Alligator mississippiensis: one gene and its partners. The protein of the gene in region 3 purifies or fractionates together with the protein of the main gene of each other region. This does not show direct contact. Links are inferred from orthologs where the notes say so. Each region holds a gene or a part of one and is shown on either strand. Other genes may lie near its edges.

Region 1 (7,156 bases), on a different chromosome or scaffold from region 3:
CCCTGCACTCTTTAATGGGTGTGATGGCAACCCCTGGGCTTTTAAATGCTGGGGGGGGAGAAAGGGTGTGTGGAAACACCGGGGGGGGGGGGGGGGGGGGGGGAGAGAAGAGGGCTCCCTCTACAGATGGTACTGCTAAATTCAAGAGTTAGAGAACCACTGATACGCAGTATTCAAGATGATCGTTCCTGCTAAAATCTGTACAGCTTATTCGTTACCTCTATAAAAAATTATTAGGAGTAGGCAGCCCATCCGTTTAAAGCAAACCCTTGATTTATGAAAATGTAGATAGTATTATTGTAACTAGAGACGCAACAGTATGGGCAACATTTCAGTCAAATGACTGAAGTACCCACAGATAGAGAAAGAAAGATTATTTTTCTTTAGTTATGAACAGGGATCCTGGTTTTCTGTTTAAAAATCGCAAATTCTCTGCTAAAAAAAAAATCTCAAATTCTTTGATTAAAATCCCAAAAATCACTATATATAGGTATCAGTTGAACATAGTGTTTTATTGCTTTAAAATTGTAAATATATTAACCTGGAAGTCTGCCGGTGCTTCAATCACTATAATAAAATAAATTCTAAACGCTTATAAATATTGGCATTTGATTTGGGAGGTTTTTAACATGCAAAATCAGAGCTCCACCTACCCTCTTCCCTGACCGGACACGGGTCCAGCTGCAGCTATCCCCCACCACTGTTTTGTGGGGCTGAGCAGCCCTGATATGCTGGTGCCCTGCCTATGCTATTGCCCCTCACTCTCCACCCACAGCCCTGCCAGTACCCCTCACACCCCACCCACAGCCTTGTGGCCCTGTTGGTGCCCGGGGCTGGGTTTGGGAGGCAGCTGAGGCCAGGGCCAGGGAAACAGCAGCTGTTTGCAGCTGGCCCAGGTTCTGGGTAGCTGCTGATAGCCACGGAGCTTGGGCTGGGGGGCAGGGCACAAGCAGGGCATCCTTCCATGTGCCACCTGCCCTTGTTTTGTTTTTCTGGCATGCCGGCACTCCAGCACCTTTCAAAGTAGGCACTGTGGGGTTTTTTTGGCACTCAGGCCAAAAAACATTGCCTACCCCTACTCTATGTCAAGGACATCTAGCATTTTTAGCTTCTGTTATAAGCAAACATTTAATTTACTTACCAGCTGCCATGATATACTGTCCATCCCTTGACACTTTAATTTTTGTGCTAACTGTAGGCATGTCAAAGTCCTGAATAAGTTCAATTCTTCTTCGAAGATCTTTAAAAAAATTAAGGAAAACATTTGCCTTTAAAAACGGGGCATTTATTTCTTATAGAAAGTTATTATACACCAAATATAAGAAAAGCCATCCCTCATTTTTATGTACAGTTAACATAAGGAAATTAATGAGTTCTGTTTAGCACTCAGAAGTGAACAGCATCAACGCAAAGCAATACATACTACATCAGCATATAAAATGAACATGCTGTATGACTCTTTATGATTACATAACTGAGAAATTGTATAGCTTATGCCATTATCTCTACTACACTCATGTAATACCTACCCCACACTTACCTCTCACAAGTTCCATATGCCACTTATCACAATTGCATCTAAATACTACACAAAGTTAAAAATAAATCCCAGACTAAAGAGGCACTCTGCTCTGGGCAAAAGGGAGAGTGGAAGGCTTTGTTTGCATTTTTTAAAGATCATGGCTTCTGAGGGAAAAAGAGGCAGCTAAATGAATGTGTGCCATTTTATATCTCCAGCTCAATACCAGACCCAGCAGCAGAATGTTCTGTTCCGGGTACTTTGCAGGGAGAATATGCAGTCGCCCTGCCTTGTACTTAAGAGTCTATCCGGTCACACTGCCCTGAGGATCACATCCATCACCTTCTCTAATGTGGACAGTCCTTAACATAATGTACATGTAGAAGTGGTAGACCAAATCTGCCATTAAACCTCCCAGACTAGAGCAACCAGCAACTAAAGCTTCACAGGAATTCAAGAAGAACATATAATTCACCCAGCACTGAAAAAAAGGAAACACTCTTTCTTGACCCCTTATCTAGATCAACTTGCACAGCCAGAAATAACTAGCAACGAACACACAAGAGCCAAAAAGCTATCAATTCTTAAATCAGCCTGTAAAGCTCTTTGGTCTCCATAAACACAACCCATTACTGCTGAACAGTATGTGCTGAAGGCAACTCACCGACATCTTTCTTTTGGAGCGCTCTCTTCTTCCTATCAGAAAGCCACTATAAAAGAAAAACTGTAGCTGTCAATATTTAAAAGGAAGGCAGAGGGAGAGTTAGTTAGGCTTATCAAATTTACCAATAAAACAAAGTGAGGAAGTGGCAGTCTTATTAATATTTCTGTATTCGTTGTCTCAAACAAACACATCAAACACGTGCATGAATACCTATTATTTAATTTAATAATTTGAGCAATGTTATGCTTCATAATCTTTAAAACATCACTGAAAACTTAAACACAGTGTACTTAAGAGTTTAAATGCATCTATTATTTTAATAATTCACATTTGGAATCCCCATGCACGTAAGGAGCCGAGCTCTACTTCTCCCCCACCCCCATCAAAACTAAAAGAGTTACAGTTCCCCAAAACAGCTTTCCACCCCTTCCCATCTCGGTGCTCAGAGCTCCGGCCTGCGAGGGGCCTCCAGGCCGCCCACCCTGGGAGGCTGGGGGCGGCAAGGAGGGAGGGAGAGACAGCACTAGTATTTACAGATGGGTCCTGGTATAGACAAGGTTGGGAGCCGCTGCCGTGGGGCACCACCCCGGGGTGCAGCAGCAGTGCCGGGCACAGGGGCGCTCACGCTCGGGCCCGCAGTGGCAATCCCCGCCCCGCGCGGCCGGAAACTGCCCCCGGGCTCTCCCGACTCCGAAGCGGCCCCGCGCCCCGCCGCGCTCACCTCGGGCAGGCTGCGGCCTGCGCTCAGGCTGTAGATCTTCACCTCGTTGAGGCTGGAGACCTGCATGGCGCCGGCGCCTGCGCGGACTTTACTGCCGGGTCAAAGGCCAAGCGGAAGTCAGCCGGGCCCCCTCCGCGCAGCGCAGCGCAGCGCAGCCCCGCCCCCCGCGCTTCCGGGGGCTCTTTGACCCGGGGGTGGTGGCCGGCGTTGGGGCCCGGCGTGCGGGGGAGCACGTGTGTGCGTGTCTGTATAGATATATCTCGACACACGCAGACATATGTACGTACATATATACACGTGTATACATACATGCCCGTGCGTACATGTACAAATGTACACGCATGTGTGTATATATCCACACGTACAGCTACATGTGTACGTACATGCACATACAGGTACAAATGTACACGTATGTTCATGCATGCACATGTAGACAGAGCTGTCCCTAGGCTTAGGCAAATCGGGGTGATGGCCCCAGGCCCCGCGCTTTGGGAGGGCCCCACGGAGCCTCCCCAGGCCGCAGCCCATCCCCCAGGGCCCGCCTGGAGCTGGCAGCTCTGCCCCACGCCATGGAAGAAGCACAGAGAAGGACAAAGACTGCCCCCAACTCTTTGCGGGGTTACCGTGACCTCACACAGTGTTAAAGGGGGCTCCCACACAGGAGGATTTGCCCCAAGCCCCACACCCCTCTAGGGTCGGCTCTGTGTACAGTATAGCTACACGGGTACATACGTACACATACTAGTGTACACATACACATATATGTACATGCATGAACATATGCATGTGCTCATACACATGTACATATCCACACGTATAGATACATGCATACGTACGTACACATATACACATATACATGCATGCACCTACATACACGTACAAATGTACACATGCATACGTGTGCATGCATGCACGTACACATGCAGACATGCAGGCACACATGCTTCTGCATGCACATACATAGATACACACATGCAGTGGTGATGAGTAGCAGGTGCACGGGGGTGCATGTGCACCCCCTGAGAGCACCGGTGCACACCGTGACTGGCCATGCTTGCCACGTAGGCGATGGGTAGGGGGGCAGGCAGGAGCACCGGTGCCCTCCCCTTCAAGCACTGGCCGGGGAGTGGAGCACCGTGGCGCTCCCAGAAAAGGCCACAGCCACTTCCAGATGTGGTCACAGCTATCAGCCGTTTCGCGGCCGTTTTCGCGACACTCCCCCTGCCCAGGTCAGCAAGATCGGCCAAGGGAGGACACACCTTGGCCGATCCCCCTGACCTGGGGGTTCACATGCCCCACCTGACTAAGGTGGCACCAGTCACCCATGCACATATGTACATACATATATGTACATATGTATGTGTATGCACACATACACATACACGAACACATATATGTGAATCCAAGTTTGCTCTACCAGGCCATGAAGGGGCAGCGCAGAGTACGAAGTGGAGTGGTTAGAATACAATAGGTGAGGAAGCTGGAGGGGCGAGCGGGAGGCACGTAAGAGACAGGCAAAGAACACTTGGGATAAAGGGGTCCCAAAAGCGAATCCAGGGGCCCGGCTAGAGCAGATCAGTTTCTTTAAAATGCAGCATATTTATACACATACATTCGTCTGCTTCGACACACCAGAGATCCAGCGCTTCAGAGCAGACTCCATTAATCAAGTCTGCTTCACAGACATGCTAATGCGACCAGCACAACATCACATGCATTTGTATAAATGGCAGCAGCTTGCTTTTAAACCAAATGTATAAATGAGACAATGGCAGCGGTGTGCTTTTAAACTAAAACACCTTCGATGTGTTTTAGTTCAAAAGCACGCTGCCACAATTTTCTCAGCGCTGACGCACATTTTGCCATTTATACAAATGCACACACCACAAGCATGTGTAGATGGTTTGAGGCTAACCGCCCTTTGTAAGACTGGTGTCAAGAGAAATCTTACTTAGATTATGTCCTTCCATCCTAGAAAGAACAGTTATCATAATTACCTTTTCCTGCCAGAGACAGTTTGACCATTTTAAAAGCTGGTGAGAGGTCCTTCGTGAGCTTTAACAATTTTCCCCAAGATGCAACACCTGTAACTCCATTGGACCATGTCAGCTGCTTGAACTAGAAACTATGTATGTGCCAACAGCTGCTGCGCTTGAAGTCAAAACTGCCCACCCAGACCAACTCAACTGTGCTACTTAAACCAGTTTGTCCCAAGTCCATTCAGGGGGTTTGAATCAGTGTAAATGTTCTCCACTTGGCAGAAACAAGCTTGTATTTATTTATTTATTGTAAAAACAAAAAGAAGGGAAAGCACATGGCTTTAACTGCTATCCTTTATAATGCTGCAAGATAGGTTTCTTTGGTATCCTTTAGTCTATGGGAGATGATGGATATTGCAGCCTATGATATAGATGGTTTGCAGTGTCTCATGTGAATGAATAGTTCATTTCGAGATTTGCATGATCTGTGGCAGTGGTTACAAATGTATGTCACGGTTGGGTGGTTTAGGAGCTGCTTGCTTCCTATGGACTCTTTTCTTTTCAACTTGTTGGAGACAGTTTCTGTTGTGGATTTTGATGCCTTGGTGGAGACAATGACAACACCACTTGTTACCATGAGAGACTGGTGCCTTCTGAATCTCTGGGGGACACCCACAGAAGGCGCCGACCCTGTCAGGGGGAGCACCGGCCCTACCAACAGCATCGGTGTTGGCCATTGGGGGGCCACCGGCCCTGTCGGGGGGGGGGCATGCGCACCCCTGTGCACCTTCTATCAGTCATCTATGCTTGTTACAATCACCTGCCAAGGTTTTCCATTGGTCAGGATCGATTCCAAATGCCTTCATATCCTTTGCTTTATTATAAACACAGGACTCTATTTTCACCAGGTTTTTCTGTTTTTAAAAATATACACAGCCCACAAGTTGACAGAAAACAGGTGTTCCTTCAGAGCATTATTTGAAAAGAATGCAATCCATTTGAAAGATCCTCCAGGTCTTAGTTGTCATTTTTGTTTATGACTTGCAAAGATCTTTTCATAGACACATTTTTAGTTGATACTTTATTTACAGATATTAATATTTGATATTACTAATAGTGTTGGTCTTTTCACCATAGCCTAACTCAAGGCATTTAGATTTCTTACAAAGAAACCCTTAAGCAGGGTTTTTGTAACTTCTAATGTATAGTCTCTATATACCATGAAGGCCTTTTCCTCCAGTTTTGATCATCTTATGTAAAATATTACTAGGAATTTAAGTACATGCACAGCACCTAGCTTTGACACACCCTAAGCTAAATTTTCTCAGGAGAATAAGCACTATGTAGCATACCCTGTTACAGTAATAACCAGGGACATAGCAAATTTGGGATGGCTGCCCCCCCCTGATTTTGCAGTCCAAGTGTGGTGCCAATCACCATTTTTGTGGTAGAATGGATCTACCTTTTTCACAGGGACATACCAGTTTTGTGGTTTCCCTGAAAACTGCAGCGTCATGAATTCAGTAGGTCCCTAGTAATAGCATATATTGCGCTTTCTGCAGTTCAAAGCAAATAGCTTGGATCTTCCAGTTTATATCCTTGGAAATCCAGTTCACAGTCAGAATTGTGCTGCTTTACAGTGATGGATCCATGGTATAGTCTTCAAACTAAACTTAAGCACACAATTAAAGAAACAATCATAATTCCTTTACAAACAGCATTAAACAGGCCAATCAACTCTATGCCTAACAGTCTTCTTAAACCCATGGGCATTTGTACTTGTGCTGCAGCGCCAGGCACTTTTAAAAGCACCCGGTGCTGCAGCACATCCATTTGTATAAACGGTAAAATGTGCATCAGCACTGAGAAAATGGCAGCAGCAGGCTTTCAAACAAAAATACATTGAAAGTTTTAGTTCAAAAGTGCACTGCTGCCATTCTCTCAGAGCTGACCTGTATTTTGCCATTTATACAAATGCACACAACACATCACAGGGTGTGTCAGCTCACGTGCGGAGTTGACTCAATTAATCGAGTCTACTCTGATGTGCTGGATCTCCAGCACATCAGGGCAGACAAATGTATGCATCTAAATGCCCACATACATCTCCTTTGCATTACATCTTGAATTCCACATTTCAGGTCGGAGCAAAATAGCTTGTGCCCAATTCCTCTATGTAGAGAAGACAATTAACGTACTGGTTCTTGGTTTAGAAACATCACTCAGGTGTTGCGAAATTTCAGAAAATGTGGGTAAATCACATAGTTCCTACA
Region 2 (7,865 bases), on a different chromosome or scaffold from region 3:
TCTGGTGCCAAGACACAGCTAATTCTGGGGTGAGCCATGCTGGGCATACAGGAACTCAGCTCTGAGATGCAGTTGGGTCTGGGGTGCAATGGCCCACATAACAGGAAGCCCTCATCCATTGTCAAGATGCAGCTAGATCTGGGGTAGGATGGCTGGATGCAAGGGGAGCCCCTGTCCAATACCAGGATGCACCTGATTCTGGGGTGGGATGTGCTAGGCATACAGGGAACCAGTACTGAGATGCCCATGATGGGTAGGGTGGCCATGTCTAATAGGGAGCCCTCACCTGGCACCCAGATGCAGCTGACTCTAGAGTAGGGCCGAAGGGCTGGTTATACAGTGCCCCCCCTCAAGCTGACACAGACCTCCAGGGTGTGGGGGCACTGGGGGCCTGTTAGCCAGCCCCCGCTGTGTTGCAGACAAAGGAACCCAGGCTGCCCCATTCTGTCTAAACATACCATAGTGAACCGGCACCAGACGGGGTGGGATGTATTTCCGGATCCCTCCTGCAGCTGCGGGTTTCTTCCCAGGGTCTGGGCCACTGGCCACCTCCTCTTCATCCTCACTCAGCTGTGCGGGGTGTGGAAATGAGGCACCGGGAGCAGGAGAGGACCCAGGCATCCAGGGAAACCCCTGCTGTAACTTGTCCCCACCCCCCCCACACCCTCTGTAAAGTGGGGAGAGCCCAGGTGTCTGGGCTCAGAGCCCCCAGTGATCTAATGCTTCCCCCTCCCAATGAACCCAGGAGTCCAGGAACCTCCCCTGCTCTGACCTTTCAGCCCACCCCTTTCCCCAAACTGGAACCACAATGACAGCTTTAGAGGGGAAGAGAGCCCAGGCGTCTGGGCCCACCCACCCCTCCTAGAGAACCCATGAGCCCTTGCCCCTGTGGCACCCAGAGTACCCAGGTGTCTGGGCCCCCTCCCCACTAGAGAGCCCAAGAGTCCAGCTCCCTCTCCCCACAGAGGACCCAGGCATCTGGGCTGCCCCCCCTCCCCCTTTACCTTGCTGGCCATGTTGCTGGGGTCGGGCCGGAAGCGCAGTGGGTCATCCCCCCCTGCAAACAGAGTGCCCCCCAGGGAGGGGGAGGGGCGGTGAGCCTCCCTGTGCCTGGCCCCACCCCCCTGTGCCTGGCCCCATCCCCCAACTCACCCAGGGCCCCGGTGGCCGCTGCCCGCACCAGCTTGTCCACCTGGTACCGGAGCTTGTGGTCGATGGGCCGCATCTTCTCCAGCACCTGGGGGTGGGGCTAAGCTGAGCCACGCCGCTACAAGGTCCCACCCCCTAAGCTCCAGCCCTCACCCCCTAAGCTCCAGCCCTCCTCATCTAGCTCTGCCCCACACCTCTACATCTCTTAGCTCCACTTGTCTCCCCTCTACCCCCACCCCTTCCCAACACCTGCCCCAAGATGCCACAACACCCCCTAGGCCCAGGGGTGGGCAATTATTTTGGATGGAGGGCTACTTACTGAGTTTTGGCAAGCCATCAAGGGCTGCATAACAGGCATCCAGGGGCAGATAAATATTAATTTTCTACATTTTTAGGGGCCCTGTGAGCTGGATAGAATGGCCTGGTGGGCCGCATTTTGCCTGCCCCTGCCCTAGCTCCACACCCAATACCCCCAGACCCCCACCCCTCTAGCTCCACCCTCAATACCCCTCTACACCCCAACCCCAAACCTTAAGACCAGCCCTTCCCTTCTAACCCCACCCCCTCACCGTGCGCAGCTCTGCCAGGCGCAGGGGAGAGGCGGTGCCGGCCAGCGGGCGCCCCCCCGCCTTGGCTGCCAGCACGGCCGCCAGGTCCTGCAGGTAGAAGAGCAGCAGCTGCGGCCGCAGCACCAGGAAGCTCAGGCCCTGCAGGAACAGATGGACATGTGGAAGCCCAGATGCCTGGGTTCTCTGGGAAGCGAGTGGAGTCCAGGGGTTTAGAGCAAAGGGAAGGGGGAACCTGAGTCCTCCAGGAGCAAGGCAGGAACTGGGGGTTAGAGCAGAGGGGGTTGGATATCCAGATGCCTGGGTTCGCCCAGCTCCTGCATGGCAGTGGGATCTGAAAGGGATGCCCAGGTGCCTGGGTTCTCTCTCTGCTCTACGGATAGTGCAGGTTCTGATAGGCTAAGAAACAAGAAGTATCTGCTAGGACTCAACTCCTGGGTTCTCCCCAGCTCTGGGAGGGGTTGTGGCCTGTGCTGGGAGAAGGCAAGGTTGGGAGCTCAGACACCTGGGTCCCATAGGAGAGCAAAATCAAGTGAGCTTGAGTGGAGGTGGAGCTGGGAGCCCAGACTCCTGGGTCCCCTAGAGGGTCCCGGAGCGGAGCAGGATTTCATTGGCTACAGCAGGGGAGCTGGGAGCCCAGATGCCTGGGCTCCCTCCTGGGTCTGAGGGGGGTCTCAGGTGAGGGAGAACATGGGTTGGGGGGGGGAGGGGGCAGGTATCCCCCCAGCTCCTACCTTGGCAGTGGGGAAGACGCCAGCCCGGACCCTCTGCAGCAGCCCCTGGATGTGCGCGGTCACAGCGGCCACCTGCAGAGATGCAGCTCAGACCCAAACCCAGGGCAGGAGGACGTGGGCACCCCCCGTGGAAACAGACCCCAGATGTCTGGGGCACAGTTCTCCCCCCTCCCGGAGCCCGGGGGAACCAGACGTCCGGGCTTCAATCCACTTCGGCTGCGGGGGGGGGGCGGTCGAGAGTGAGGGGCACCCGCAGGGCGGGGTGCATGGGGGAGATCTCACCTGCTCTGGGAGCGCCGTCAGCAGGGCCAAGGCCTGGGGGAGATCAGTCACCACCTGCTCCTGGGGGGAGGCGGCGGCGGGTTAGCCCAAGGATAGAGCGCGGACGCAGAAGTCCGAGCCCCGGGTCCCAGGAGCCCGAGCCCCACTCACCCGCAGGCCGGTACTACAGCCCGGCTCCATCCCGGTCCCGCGCCCACGTGCGCCCCGCCACCCGCTTCCGCCCCGCTAGGGCGACTCAGCCAATCAGCGCGTGCGCCACGCTGACGGCGAGTGGGAAGGGACACAGCCCAGCAGCGGCCGCCTCCTCAGGCCGCCCGAGCCAATCACGGAGCGGGAGAGATGAAAACGGGGCGGGGGAACCGTTTTGGGGAAGATGCGGACAAATGGGCGCGGAGAGGGGGCGGGAGCGAAGGGCAGAGGCGCGGCGGGATTGGTTGAGGGGGCCCCACTCCCCCAGATCAGGTGGAGAACCCAGGTGTCCGGCCCCCGCCCCAGTGCCGTGACCCCCTAGTCCCTGCGCCCCTCCCAAAAAACCAGACCTCCGGCTCGCGGTGCCCACAGCCCCTGCCAGAGCTGGGAGAGAGCCCAGGTCTCGGGGGCTGTGCCCCACCCTCGAAGCCCACTGCACCCCAGTGTCCCCCCAGAGCTGGCAGAGCCCCCAGCTGTCCGGGCTTGGACGCCCGGTTGGGCAGAGCAGCAGGGCCAGGTGGGAGCAGGGAGCCTGGATGCTGCTGCCTTCCCCTGCCCTGCTCCTGGCCCAGATGACAATGGCCAGGGCCAAGACAATAGGAAACGCTCCGGCCCCGGGGAATGCACCGGGCTATTGTCCCAGCCTGGCCGGGCTGGGTGCCAGGACACCTGGGTTCTCTGCCTGCCTGGCGGGGGGAGCCTGGATGCCTGGGTTCTCACACGCCCCTGGCCTGGGGCCCGGCCTGCTGGGACCATGGCGGGGAGCATTGTCTAGGGGACAATGGCAGGTGCCTGGACCCCGCCCAGCTGGGGGGGGGAATCCCTGGGACCCCGCCAAGGGCAGCCCCAGTTACGTAGGACCCAGGTGTCTGGGTGCCCAGGCCTGAGCGGAAAGTGAACCCAGGCATCGCAGCTCTCAACCTCTGTTGCCCTCAGAGCGAGAAGGTGGCTCTCAGCCCTGCCTCCCCGAACCTGCCAGGCCCACAAAGCCTCCCCGAGCTGGGAGAGAACCCAGGTGTCCGGGGTGCAGGTCAGGGTCCCGGGCATCTGGGTTCGCTCTGCCTAGGGAGGGTAGCGGGGCTGGGGAGCCTGGACTGCTGGGTCCATCCCCTGCGGTGCCCCTGGCCCAGATGACAATAGCTGGGGCCAAGACAATAGGAAATGCCCCACCCCAAGGAATGCACCGGGCTATTGTCCCAGCCAGGCCAGGCACCAAGGACACCTGGGTACTCTGCCTGCTGGGTGGGGGGACAGGGCTGGGAGCCCAGACGCTGGGCTTTAACGCCCCCCTGGTATGCGAATACCGGCACGAGACCCAGCCTACTGGGACCAGGGGTGGGGGGGTATTGTCTGGGGGGCAATGGCAGGTGCCTGGACCCCGCCCAGCTGTGCGGGGGGAGGGCAGGGGAATTTCCTGGGATACTGCCAAGGGAAGCCCCGGTTTAACAGGACCCAGGTCTCCAGGCGCCCAGGCCCTGCTGCCCTCCTAGGCCTGAGTGGGAATCCAGGTGTCCAGGCTCTCAATGAAATGGAAACCAGGCTCTCAGCTCCCCCTCACCCAACGTGCCCGGCCCCACAAAGCCTCCTGGAGCTGGGAGGGAACCCAGGTGTCCGGGCTCCCCGTGCCCCCGTTCTAACATGCCAGCCCCCACTCCTCTCCCAGAGAAGAACCTAAGAGCACAGGCTCTCAGCACTTCCTACTCTAACCCACTGGACCCCAGAGCTGGATAGACCCCAGGTGTCCGGGGACCCGACCCCATTCCCCTCCCAAACATGAGACAGAAACCAGGTGTCCAACCACTCTCCCCCACCCAGTCAAGAGGGAACCCAGGCATCCGGGCCCTATCTCCCCACAGCCCCAAGCCCTGGGCTGGGCTGGGGGGAGTAGGAGTAGAACAAGGGGCTAGGAGCCCGGGTGCCTGGGTTCTGTCCAGCTGTGGGAAGGGAGTGGGAGTCTCAGGGGTGGGAGCCCCCCGGACCCCTGGGCTCTCTCTGGGCTCTGGGACACCAGTGGGGTCCAGTGGGCTTTAGAGGTAAGGGGGGTTGGTGGGTTGGATCTGAGGTCTCCCCTGGATATCTGGGTTCCCTCTGGGCTCTGGAAGACCAATGGGACTTTGGGCTGGAGGGGGCTGCCCCCGCCCCCACGGCCCAGTTTCCAGGGTTCTCTCCTGCCTTGGGGATGACAATAGGGTCCGGTGAGCTGTAGAGGGGGGAAGACTCCCCCTCCCTGGATGCCTGGGTTCTATTCTTGGCTAGTGGCTATTAATACTGGCCGGCCTTTCGGGCACGGCTATATAAGGCCGGGTCCTTCTCAAGGTCCTTCCTATTGTCCTGGGCCCCTTTGTTCACGTCATGGGGAAGGGGGGATTGAGTGTCAGGGGGGCAGGGAATGCTGCGAGGGGTGTGGGGGGGGGTGGCAGCTAAAATTACCCTTGTGGGGGGAGGGGAAAAAAGAATAGGGGGAAGAGAGAGAGAGACAGGTCTGGGAGCCCTAAACCTGGGTTCTCTGAGGGAGGGGGAGCCTGGACACCTGGGTTCTTGGGTGTGGGGTCTTCTGGGGGCCCGGTCACCTGCGTTCCCTCTGCCAAATGGGCGGTGGGGAGGCTGGGTGGACCTCTGGCACACAAGGGGTTAAGAAGAATGGCACAGTGCCCCATCCCCCCCACCCATACACTTGGGATTTGGGCCTGACACCTGTTCAAGGACCAAGCAAGCCCGTCCCCCCCACCTGTCCTTTGTCAGTCTGGCCTGGCCCTGGGGGAAGGGAGCTGAGCAGACACAAAGGACCCAGGCATCCAGGCTCCCAATGCCCCCCCACACCCCCTCTTAAGTCCCCACTGCCCTTCAGAGCTGGGTGAGAACCCAGGCGTCCTGGCTGCCAGCCCCCACTCCCCTAGCTCTGACCCTCCCAAGATCCCACCCCTGCTCCAGAGCTGGGGAATGAACCCAGGCTCCCAGGACCCCTTTGTTCTGGCCTCGCTGCCCCCACCCAGAGCTGAGAGAGAACCCAAGTGTCCAGGGTCCCATTCACTGGAGGGACCAGGTCCTTGTGCTCACGTGTTTCTATGGCAATTTAATTTTCCATCCCATAATGTTTCCCAGGCTGACACAGCCTGTGGGGCTGGGGGCTGCTGATGGAGAGTGAGGGGTATTGCAGGGCGGGGCAGGGAGCTGTTGGTCAGGAGTGAGGGGGCTGGTGGGGGGCGCAGGGGCTATGCCTCAGGAGTGAAGGGCATCCACAGGCTGTGGGGGGGCAGGGGCTGCGGCCTGGCGTCCGTGCGTCCGTCTGCCCTGGAATCCCAGCCCCGTGGATGCCTGGGATGCCCCCCCGCCCTTCCCTCCCCAAACCTGTTCCTATTCTTCATCGTTCCTGGACAATGACGAGAGCTTCCAATTGTTCCCCGGTGGGGGGAGGACAGAAGTGGGGCTGGGGGGGCGGGGGCCTGGCTCTGCCCTGCCACAGGGGTGGGGGGCAGGGGGTATATAGGGGCCCCCTCAACAGCCGCCCTCACAGGCCCCTCAGCATTGGTGTGAGGTGTGTGGGCTGGGGGGGTTTGGGGCTGGGGGGGGAATACCAGGGGGGTCTATAAGGGGTGTTAGGGGGTCCATGAGTCCTGGAGGGGGGTGTCTGGGGCTGGGTGGGGGCATAGAAGGTCCCCTTGGGTTGGGGGGGCATGGGAGGCTGTCAGGGGTCAGTGGGTCCTGGGGGGGTGAGGAGGGGGCAAGCAGCCAGGGCAGGGGGGAGGTTGGGGTGTCCCTGGAGGGGCCATGGGGTGAGGGGGGGTATGAAGGGGAGCAGGGGCCTGGGTACCTTGTTTGGGTGGGTGTCATGTGCGTGTCCATGCATGTGTGTGTGTACAGGTTTACCGGGGGGGTGCGCTCAGGTATGTGAACGTGCAGGGGTGCCATCCGTGTGTGCAAGCCACATACATCTGTGATGCCCTCACTTGCGCTGTCTACAAGCACACGCATGTACAATCTGTGTGGACACGCATGTGGGTACTGGGGTGTGTGTCTGTGAGCATAGGTGCTTGTGCAGTCTGTGTGTGTGATCTGTGCTTAGGTGTGTACTTGTGTGAGTGCACCGCCTGCATGTGGAATTGGCATGTGTTCTTGCATGTGTGGGGCCTATGTTTGCATGTGTGCACTTGTGTGTGCAATCCGTGTGTCTACACATGTGTGTGGTTGTGTGTGTGTGCAGTCTGCATGTACGTGTGCATGTAATCTGTAGGAACATGTATGTGGGCAATGTGTGTGCGATCTGTGTTTGTGTGTGAACTAGCATGTGCAATTCATGTAGGCACTTGTGCAATGTGTATGCTACACGTCTCCTTGCACATGTATGTGCTCTGTATAAGTGTGTAGGGCACTCAATTGTGCAAGTGGTATGTGTCATCCATGTGCAGATGTGTATGTGTGCAATCCATGTGTGCAATGTGTATGTAGATGTGCACAGTGAGTGTCCAATCGGTGCTTGTGTGTGTGTGGACTTGTGTGTGCCATCTGGGGGTAGGGGGGGCATGTGTGTGCAGCCAGTGTTTATATGTGTGTGTGGTCCGTGTGCACCTCCCTGCATGTACAACGTGTGTCTGTCCGGGCCTGGTCAGAGGGGCTGCGCCCACGCGGGGGAGGTCTCCACCGCTCCCTGCTGACCCCTTCCCCTGCCAGGACTCCAGCCCCGGGGACAGACCCAGCCACCACCTTCCTCTTTCCAGGACCCACCAGGACACACAAGGTAGGGCCGAGATGCGACTGCTTCTGGGGTGGGATCGCAGCAGGAAATGCATGTTCCTATAGGCAGCTGCCTCCCGGGCCCTCCAGCCTCCAGGCCAGGGGTTTGAGGCCCTGGCCCAGCCATGCCTGGCTCACAAGCCCTCCCTTGCTTCCCAAGAGGCACCATGGGAGATGCGGAGATGGCAGAATTTGGGGAGGCCGCCCCCTACTT
Region 3 (7,483 bases):
AGGGCAGAACTGGGGCCTCTCATCACACTATTCACTAAGCCACAAACACACAACTACAGTACTTTCCAGAAAAAGCTACAACCGATCAGCCTGCCTTCACCCTCTGTGACAAGAGGGCAAGACACCTGGCACCAGGGCAATGGGCTTTGATACAAGAGAGAAACTGGACAGACAGGGAGAGAGGACAGGTACCAGAGAACCTGCAAGGCCACATATGCAGGTCCCATGGCAGGAACATCCAAGAACTGATGTTAGGCAAACACAAGGTCAGACGCAAGAACTCATTCCTTCAGAATCAGAAAAAACCTAAAATCATACCCTACTTGGTTTCTCAATGGTTAATGAGATTGTGTCAGCCTGACAGGGTATTACTGTCACACACAACAGTATGAGTCAAGTTAACGGACTGCATGCTGACCATGGCACACCAGTCAGGCTATACCAGGCCAATGGCACCAAGCACTGCGATAGCTAACCTCAACTCTTCAGAACTGTGTCTGAACACAATAACTTGGGTCATGGAGACAGGCCAGAAATCCTTGGCTTAGTTGGCTATTGAAGACACTCTGTACTGGTGTTCTGGGATGGATGCAGGAGGAAATGGCAGGTATCACTTTAGAAACTAAAAAGGGACTTTCATGTCATGTTACTCTGCCAGCAACTAATTTCTCAAAAACTGCACTCTCCCTAGAGGCAAAACAGAGGCACGCAGAAAACTTGAGATTAAGGTAGCAGGAAACATTCATTCGTCTCGAGTATACTAAGTAGTAGCCTAGGCAGCTCAGGTGCTCCAATTTAAGGCGCTAGACATGTTAAGTCAACTCATCCTCCTGGCCTCCTCTAACTCCATTTGTCTCCTATACGCACTGCCTTGTCTTCACTAGGAGGGCTCAATCAGCAGAGGAATGCCAGCATAGTACTTCCAGGGTGAATGCAGCTATACCGCTAAAGCTGTTTTGTTTTGTTTTTTGGGTGGGGGGGGGCAAGAGGGGGTAGAGTGTTTTGGTACAGGGGCATCAACCCACAATAAGCAAACCAAAATTTCAATCTGCATCTCTGATAACTGCATCTACAAGGGAGGTTCCCACCAGCACAGCTATATCAGTAAAGGACCACATTTCTCCTCTGTCTGGGAAGACTTGAAACTTTTCTTAAAATATGGTTTAAGTTTAGTAGCAATTCCTGATCGATGCTTATGGTGTTATTGTCTATCAATCAGCCAAGGATCAGGGTTCCACTCTGCTAGATACCAAATCGGCATAATAAAAACGGGCCTACCTGAAAGGGATTACAGTGTTAGCACATGACATGTGTGATCTCTGCACTACAGACCCTTGCTGGCACATTCACATAGCTTTTATCAGCATCTTAAACCAGACCTACGCTAGTCAAAATAGTCTTTTACTGTACAACTATGTCTATCCTACAGCTTTGGACTATACAGCTGGGGGCATGATTTATCCACACTCGCAGCCAACGGAGCTATACCAGGCCTTTTAGGTACAGACCAGGACTATAACTGATGGACAGACCCTTCCCCAAGCTGGGGGAGGTGAAAATAACATCTCCCATCAGTTTTATGGCTCACATTGAGATTAGGAGTAGCAGTGAAGACAAATACCTATCCAGTATATCCAGTTAAAGGAGACCTTGTCTGTACCAAGCTGCTTTTGCCATCAAAACTTTTGGCAGCAGACAGCAAATCACCACAGCTGCTTCACATCTGCACGGCTTCTGATGGCTCCCCATGGCTCCGCTGTAACAGCTGTGCCAGCAGAGTGTGAAGAGCACCTGGGAAGGCACCAGCTGCTAAAGGACCACAGCAGCCGGCAGAAGTCTTCTTTTGCTGGGGGAGATGGTGCTACTCTGCCTGCAGAGAGCCTGCGAGTGGGGATGCGCTTCTTTTTCTGCTACCGGCGTAGATAAAACCTGAACTCCCCTCTTGCTTGGCAAAACAAGAGCTGAGGCAGCACCTTGAGCTACTCGTAAGAGAGAAAGGTCCAAAATGGGAGGAAAGATCCAAAATGGGAGACTCATTGGAGGGCAGGTTAGAGGCGCAGGCAGCCTTGGGACTGGGTGGCAAGAGAAGTGGCATAAACCCTTTCCTCAGGGACAAGAAGACTTACGGCACTATTAAACCTGAAGTTGGCATGGCTTTAGGGCCTTTCCAGCCCCTCCTTTTCTCTAAAGATATATGCGGCAGGGCTAGACTTCTCACCAATCAACTGCCCCAGGCCTGCATTGGTATACGTGTTCGCTCATCTTCTTCTCTTCGGCTAAATTATCCGTGTTATTTCTCAAGCCTGAAATAGTAACGGACGCAAACACGGCCTTTCTGGTGCAGCCCGACGGCTCTCCTCGTACCTAACGGAGACGCAACGGGGCTACCGCACGCCGTCGCCGTTAACGTTTAATTCTCTTACTAGCGCAGGCCAAGTGCCTGAGAAAGGAGAGAGAAAACCGGAGGGGGGAGGGGGGGAGCAGGAAAATAACGGCATCAGAAAAGTGAAAACAATCAAAGCTTTTATTAATGTCTCCCACCGCTGCGTTATTTTGCTCTGGCGCCGTGCGTCCACGGGAACGGAAGGGACACAATGGCTTTGAAGAAACTCGAACGGGAAGGAGGTGGATTTGGGCCACGCTCTTATTTTTCTCTTCAAGACGACAGAAAGGGGTCGGGTGTCGTATGAATAGAGGACAGACACGCGGGCTGTCCGCTGTGAGGGCTACCCTAGGCACAGTGCGTGTGGACGGGGAGGAGACAGGCTGCACCGGGGCAGCTAGGAGGGGACAGGGCCGCCGCGCAGGCTCCTCGGGGCCCGGCCCCACGTGGGGGCCGCGATAGGCCGCGCCTGCTCCCCCGTTCCCTCCCCTTGCCCCCGCCTCACCGTCCTCGGGGTCGTCCTCGGGGTCGCCCGCGCGGGGCCGGGGGTCGAGCAGCAGCTCCAACTGCTCAGCCAAGGGCGCCGCCATCTTGGGCCGAGGGAGGCGCGCGGGGCGGGGCCGCCCCTCCCCCCGCGCGCCTCACGCGCAGCCGTTAACGGTCGCCGCGCGGCGGGGCTGAGGCACAACCGCCCCTCCCCCCCCCAACCACCCACGCGGCTCCCTCAGCGTGGCCGTGCGGTGCCACGAGTGCAGCCCCCTCATCAAAACCGTGTCCCTGCCTATGTGGCTCACACATGAAACACCCCCTCCCTCCAGTTTTAGCTGCCCCCCCATTGCACCCTGATTTCTGAGGGGGGGTCCCACATACATTTTGTTGCCAGGTTGCATTTTTGCAACCCCCCCCCCTCAAAGAAGGACCTTATTTGGTATCAGGCAGCCCCAAAAACGCACTGTCTCCTTAATAGTCTGAGGTGGTTGGGTTTTTTTTAAAGGAACGATTAGTTTCCAGAAGCAGGAAAAAAACACGTCAGATAGTTAAGAAATATGTACAAACACCTCCGGGAAAATGAAATCGATGCTTACCTGTGGGGGTCGTGATCAATATTCAACCGTTTTGGGGGCTACGGACAACGTGCCGTTACCGAATTGCGTTTCCGAAACCGTGACGCTACAAAGTGCAGGAGGGGTGAATTTAGGAGTCTGTGAATCTTACTGCCCTCCCCTCAAAATACAAAAGATCCCTATGGGTCGAGAGAGGGGGTGAAAAAAGGCATTTAGGGCTGGTTAGATACATGCCCCCGATCCACCGTGATAGCCACGGGGAAAAGATTTCACCCTTTCACCCTTCGGGTGAAATCTTGGCCCTGCTGATGTCAATGGGATTTTTGTTACTGACTTCAATAGGACCGGGATGTCACCCGTTGAGATCAATGGGGCTATTGTTGCGCCGAGCGTCCCGCCGTCCAGCGAAGCGTTTGAGCTCGTGTATAACACGAAACGTGACCGATCCTATTGGAGTCGACAGGCCTAATTCTGCGCCTGGGGCAAAGTCGGCGTAAAACGCTAGCGGCTCCGTGTCAAATTTGCAGCGGTGTAAATTGCAGCGCGAGGTGCAGGGCGCGTCCGCTCCCGTTCTGAAAGCGATTCAATATATTTGTCGTGCCGGCTCGAATCCGAGGGCAAGATATTGTCCGTATAAAACCAAACCAAACGCACACACAAATTACCGCTAAAATCATCGCTGCTTAGAACGGTTCGAAAATCCCAGTGCCACGTTACCATTCATTTTCTTTCCTTTGTGCATTTCACTCAGCTTGGATAATTAAAACAGGCAGACACACTAGTCGGTTTCAGTTCCTGGTTCACATGCCCTAAAACCATCCTGCTGCTGCTGCTGTTTGGATTCGTTATCAGGCAAAAGACTGTTTGGATAAATATTAACAAAAACAATATAAATTCATTTTCTTTTATTTTTTTTTTTTAGATAACCACGAAAGCATTTCGTATTCATATTAGGCAACGCAAAACCCTTTCCGTCTGCGAACTGAAAACATATTGACATTGTTCCTAGCGTAGTTTCGCTTTGAATTTTACGGCAAATCTACTTGTTTATTTGCCAAAATTTAAATATTGATATAAAGATGCACAAGCAGGCTTTGGAAGAATATACTGTAAAAATCCTCCTCCTCTCGTTTCTCACGCCCATGTTTCCTTTTTTGCTCTTAATGCATGTGGCTTGTTAGTATTTGGGAAACTGTCAAGATGTCAGCCTTGATGAACCAATGACAGCATGGGACATTTTTGGGTGCTGTATAAATACATACATTTAATAATAAGGCATAGCCTTTTCATAAGAGTTTCTTTCTATAAATGCAAAAATGGGGAAATCTATAGAGATAGAAAACATCCAGACATCTACACTGAATACTTTGCTGCTCTTCTGTGTAACATTTCAGTGTTCAATATCACTCAGCAATTGTTTCTTACCTTTATCAGATAGCAGGTGGTGTTGCAAGCCGGACTGCAGCATACAAGCATCAGTCTCTGACAGAATTCCTATACGTATCAATGGGAACTGCATGCCTGAGAGGTACATCTACTGACTCACAACTGAATTCTGTATACAGAGCAGTATACAGCCCTAAAATAATTAGGGACAAGAGCTAATTAACCCTTTCCCCCTGAGAACAATGAAATGGGAAGTGTCATTTTTTTTTCTCCCAAAACACACATTTTCACTTTAGTCAGAATATTTTGGCTTTAAATTATATTGGTTCTATATGTGAAAGAAAATGTTTCCAGCAGCAAAATGTAATCACTGGAAAAAGGGAGACAGGAAAAAACAAGAGAGGGAGAAGCACCAAAACTTCACAGTTTAAAAAACAAACAAACCAAAAACCCAAAAGATAGAATATTGAATTTCTAAAAGAAAATCAAAATTGATTACAACAAACATTTTTCTTCAGTTCTAATAGAGATACAAGGGCAGTAGCTGGTACATGATATATTTTTTCATCTGTCCTTTCATTTATTGAGGGTAAGATTATCAAAAAGTGCTGAAAGGAGTTGAAACACCCAACTACCAGTGAAAGTTCCAACCCTACTGTATATTCTTGAATTTTTTAATCTATTTAACACATTTAAAATAGAGCCAGGCAGTGCTTAAAGATGTTAGTCATAGGAAGAGCGAGGCCAAATAAAAATTAGGATAAATTCTTTTTGAGGGAGTCATGTATATCCTTGACCAAGGGCATCTCCCACACACAGCAAGTGAGTATACTCTGTATTTGCAGACAACAATGAGAATGCAACATTTATGCCCTATGTGCAAAGTACACGTGTGCAAGAGGGCTTTTTTCACACACTTAGCCACCCCCCCCCCCAAGGTTGCAGGTCAACAGAGCTTTTAAGCATATGCTTACTCTTAAAATCCCAGAGAAGACATAGGGCTATGTTTTCTACCTAAACTTAAGCATATGCTTAAAGAGCTTTGCTGCACTGGGGACATAATGCCATATGTGAAACACTCAGCAAAGTCATGGCAGATTTGCTTGCAGCTCAGTGGCAAATCTGAGTCCTTTACATTAGTGGTGCCAAATTTCTGAATTCAGCCTGCCTGAAGTATTCATCAGTTCCCCTATAGAGTCTGGCCCTAGAGTCCAAACTTCCATTAAATAAATACCCACACATACCCACACAAAACAGGATGTTCCTGATGCTAATGCTTGCAAAACCTGCCTTGCAAACGTTGAACCCAATGTAACTAGTGCAGAATGATTTTCCTGCATTTGCAGCCAACCTGAAACAACACGTCTAAGAGAAGCAAATCACCCCATTCCACCCAATGAAGTACTGTTGATATAGATGACAAAGCTCCAAGAGACACATTCCAACATTTGGATGCACAACTATGTATCTGGTTGCACACTTAAGACAAATGTATACACCAAATATGATAAATAAAATTCCAAACAATCGGTTGACCTAAAAAGTGTCCTCTCTTATTTTTCTCCCTTATTCAGTGATATTAAATACAACAGTGGCTTCACTAATTGAAAATTCAGTTCCACATAAGACTGCATCCTCCCATCAATCTCTGTAAAATGTTCCATTTTCAGCAGTCTCTGTGCACCAAGGCCCTACTTTCCCAGACCTGCCCTCCAGATTATAATTAAAAATTATATTTGGCCTTCTTAGCAAAGCAAGTAATAATACTTCTGCAATAACTACTGTCCACTCAAGTACAGTAGCAACATAATAACATATAAACAAACAGAAGACTTTCCCAAGCTGATTCCTCTTGAATTTAACACTTGTGTTTCATGATGTATGTAACCTTTCAATACTTTGTCTTCTCTGTTACACAGCATTGTCTAGATTTGTATGTCCACGTGCCTTACTTAACCTTAAACATAACTGAAGTCTTATAAAGGTCTGTTTGCAAGGCTGGTAACTAAAATAGAAACTGCAATTCCTTCTAAGTAATATGATAAAAGCACAAGACCTAATCATATCACTTTTGTTCATGGAAAAATCTCAAATTGCAGCTAATGGAATTTTTGCCTGAGTAGACAATGTCGTTTTGGTCCTTTCCCTGAATAGCAAAAGTATGTATATCATTGATCATATTTTGAAATTAAATTTATTTATAGATTTGTATCATGTGCCCATCGCTCTATCTGGGCACAGGTTCATATATTAAAATAATATACATAATTTGTCTACAAATCATAACTGGAAGACCATTTTTACTCCAGGGATACTGATCTTTACAAATCCCCCTACTACGCCCTCAAGCAAAGGCCTGAGTAAATAGATAACAGAAATTACTAAAGGAAAAATTAAGCTGATACCGACATCTATGGGAGTTTCACAGAGAGCGAGCAGAGTAAAATATGGTACACGGTTTGTAACAAAAGAAGAATTGCTTGAATGCTGGAGACTCAATAGGTTAAGATCATTCAAATTATCCATTAGAAATATCTTCTTAATTTAAGTTGGTGTAATATAAATAGTATTTACACTATTTTCACACACTTCTTCTCCAGTAGATAATGTATTGAATTAAAGAATTTGTAAAAAAATATATATATATCCA

Evidence for each region.
Region 1: the proteins of AATF (region 3) and NOL10 purify together in Homo sapiens (affinity purification with mass spectrometry; 4 studies listed by BioGRID and IntAct, counting the BioPlex papers as one, with this or other methods). This does not show direct contact. The link is inferred for Alligator mississippiensis from reciprocal best matches to the Homo sapiens genes AATF and NOL10.
Region 2: the proteins of AATF (region 3) and NGDN purify together in Homo sapiens (affinity purification with mass spectrometry; 3 studies listed by BioGRID and IntAct, with this or other methods). This does not show direct contact. The link is inferred for Alligator mississippiensis from reciprocal best matches to the Homo sapiens genes AATF and NGDN.

What each region holds. Positions count from the first base shown.
Region 1 is NC_081824.1:29,634,321-29,641,476, reverse strand, and holds the start of NOL10 (nucleolar protein 10), read right to left. Parts: upstream 3,010-7,156; 5' UTR 2,971-3,009; coding exon 2,905-2,970; intron 2,230-2,904; coding exon 2,184-2,229; intron 1,241-2,183; coding exon 1,142-1,240; intron 1-1,141.
Region 2 is NC_081830.1:7,522,580-7,530,444, reverse strand, and holds the start of NGDN (neuroguidin), read right to left. Parts: upstream 3,010-7,865; 5' UTR 2,912-3,009; coding exon 2,882-2,911; intron 2,792-2,881; coding exon 2,732-2,791; intron 2,522-2,731; coding exon 2,450-2,521; intron 1,857-2,449; coding exon 1,719-1,856; intron 1,238-1,718; coding exon 1,153-1,237; intron 1,058-1,152; coding exon 1,005-1,057; intron 571-1,004; coding exon 459-570; intron 1-458. Other genes in the region: myosin-7, read left to right, coding at 7,819-7,865. UniProt on the Homo sapiens protein: Part of the small subunit (SSU) processome, first precursor of the small eukaryotic ribosomal subunit.
Region 3 is NC_081837.1:5,466,333-5,473,815, reverse strand, and holds the start of AATF (protein AATF), read right to left. Parts: upstream 3,011-7,483; 5' UTR 2,974-3,010; coding exon 2,889-2,973; intron 1-2,888. UniProt on the Homo sapiens protein: Part of the small subunit (SSU) processome, first precursor of the small eukaryotic ribosomal subunit.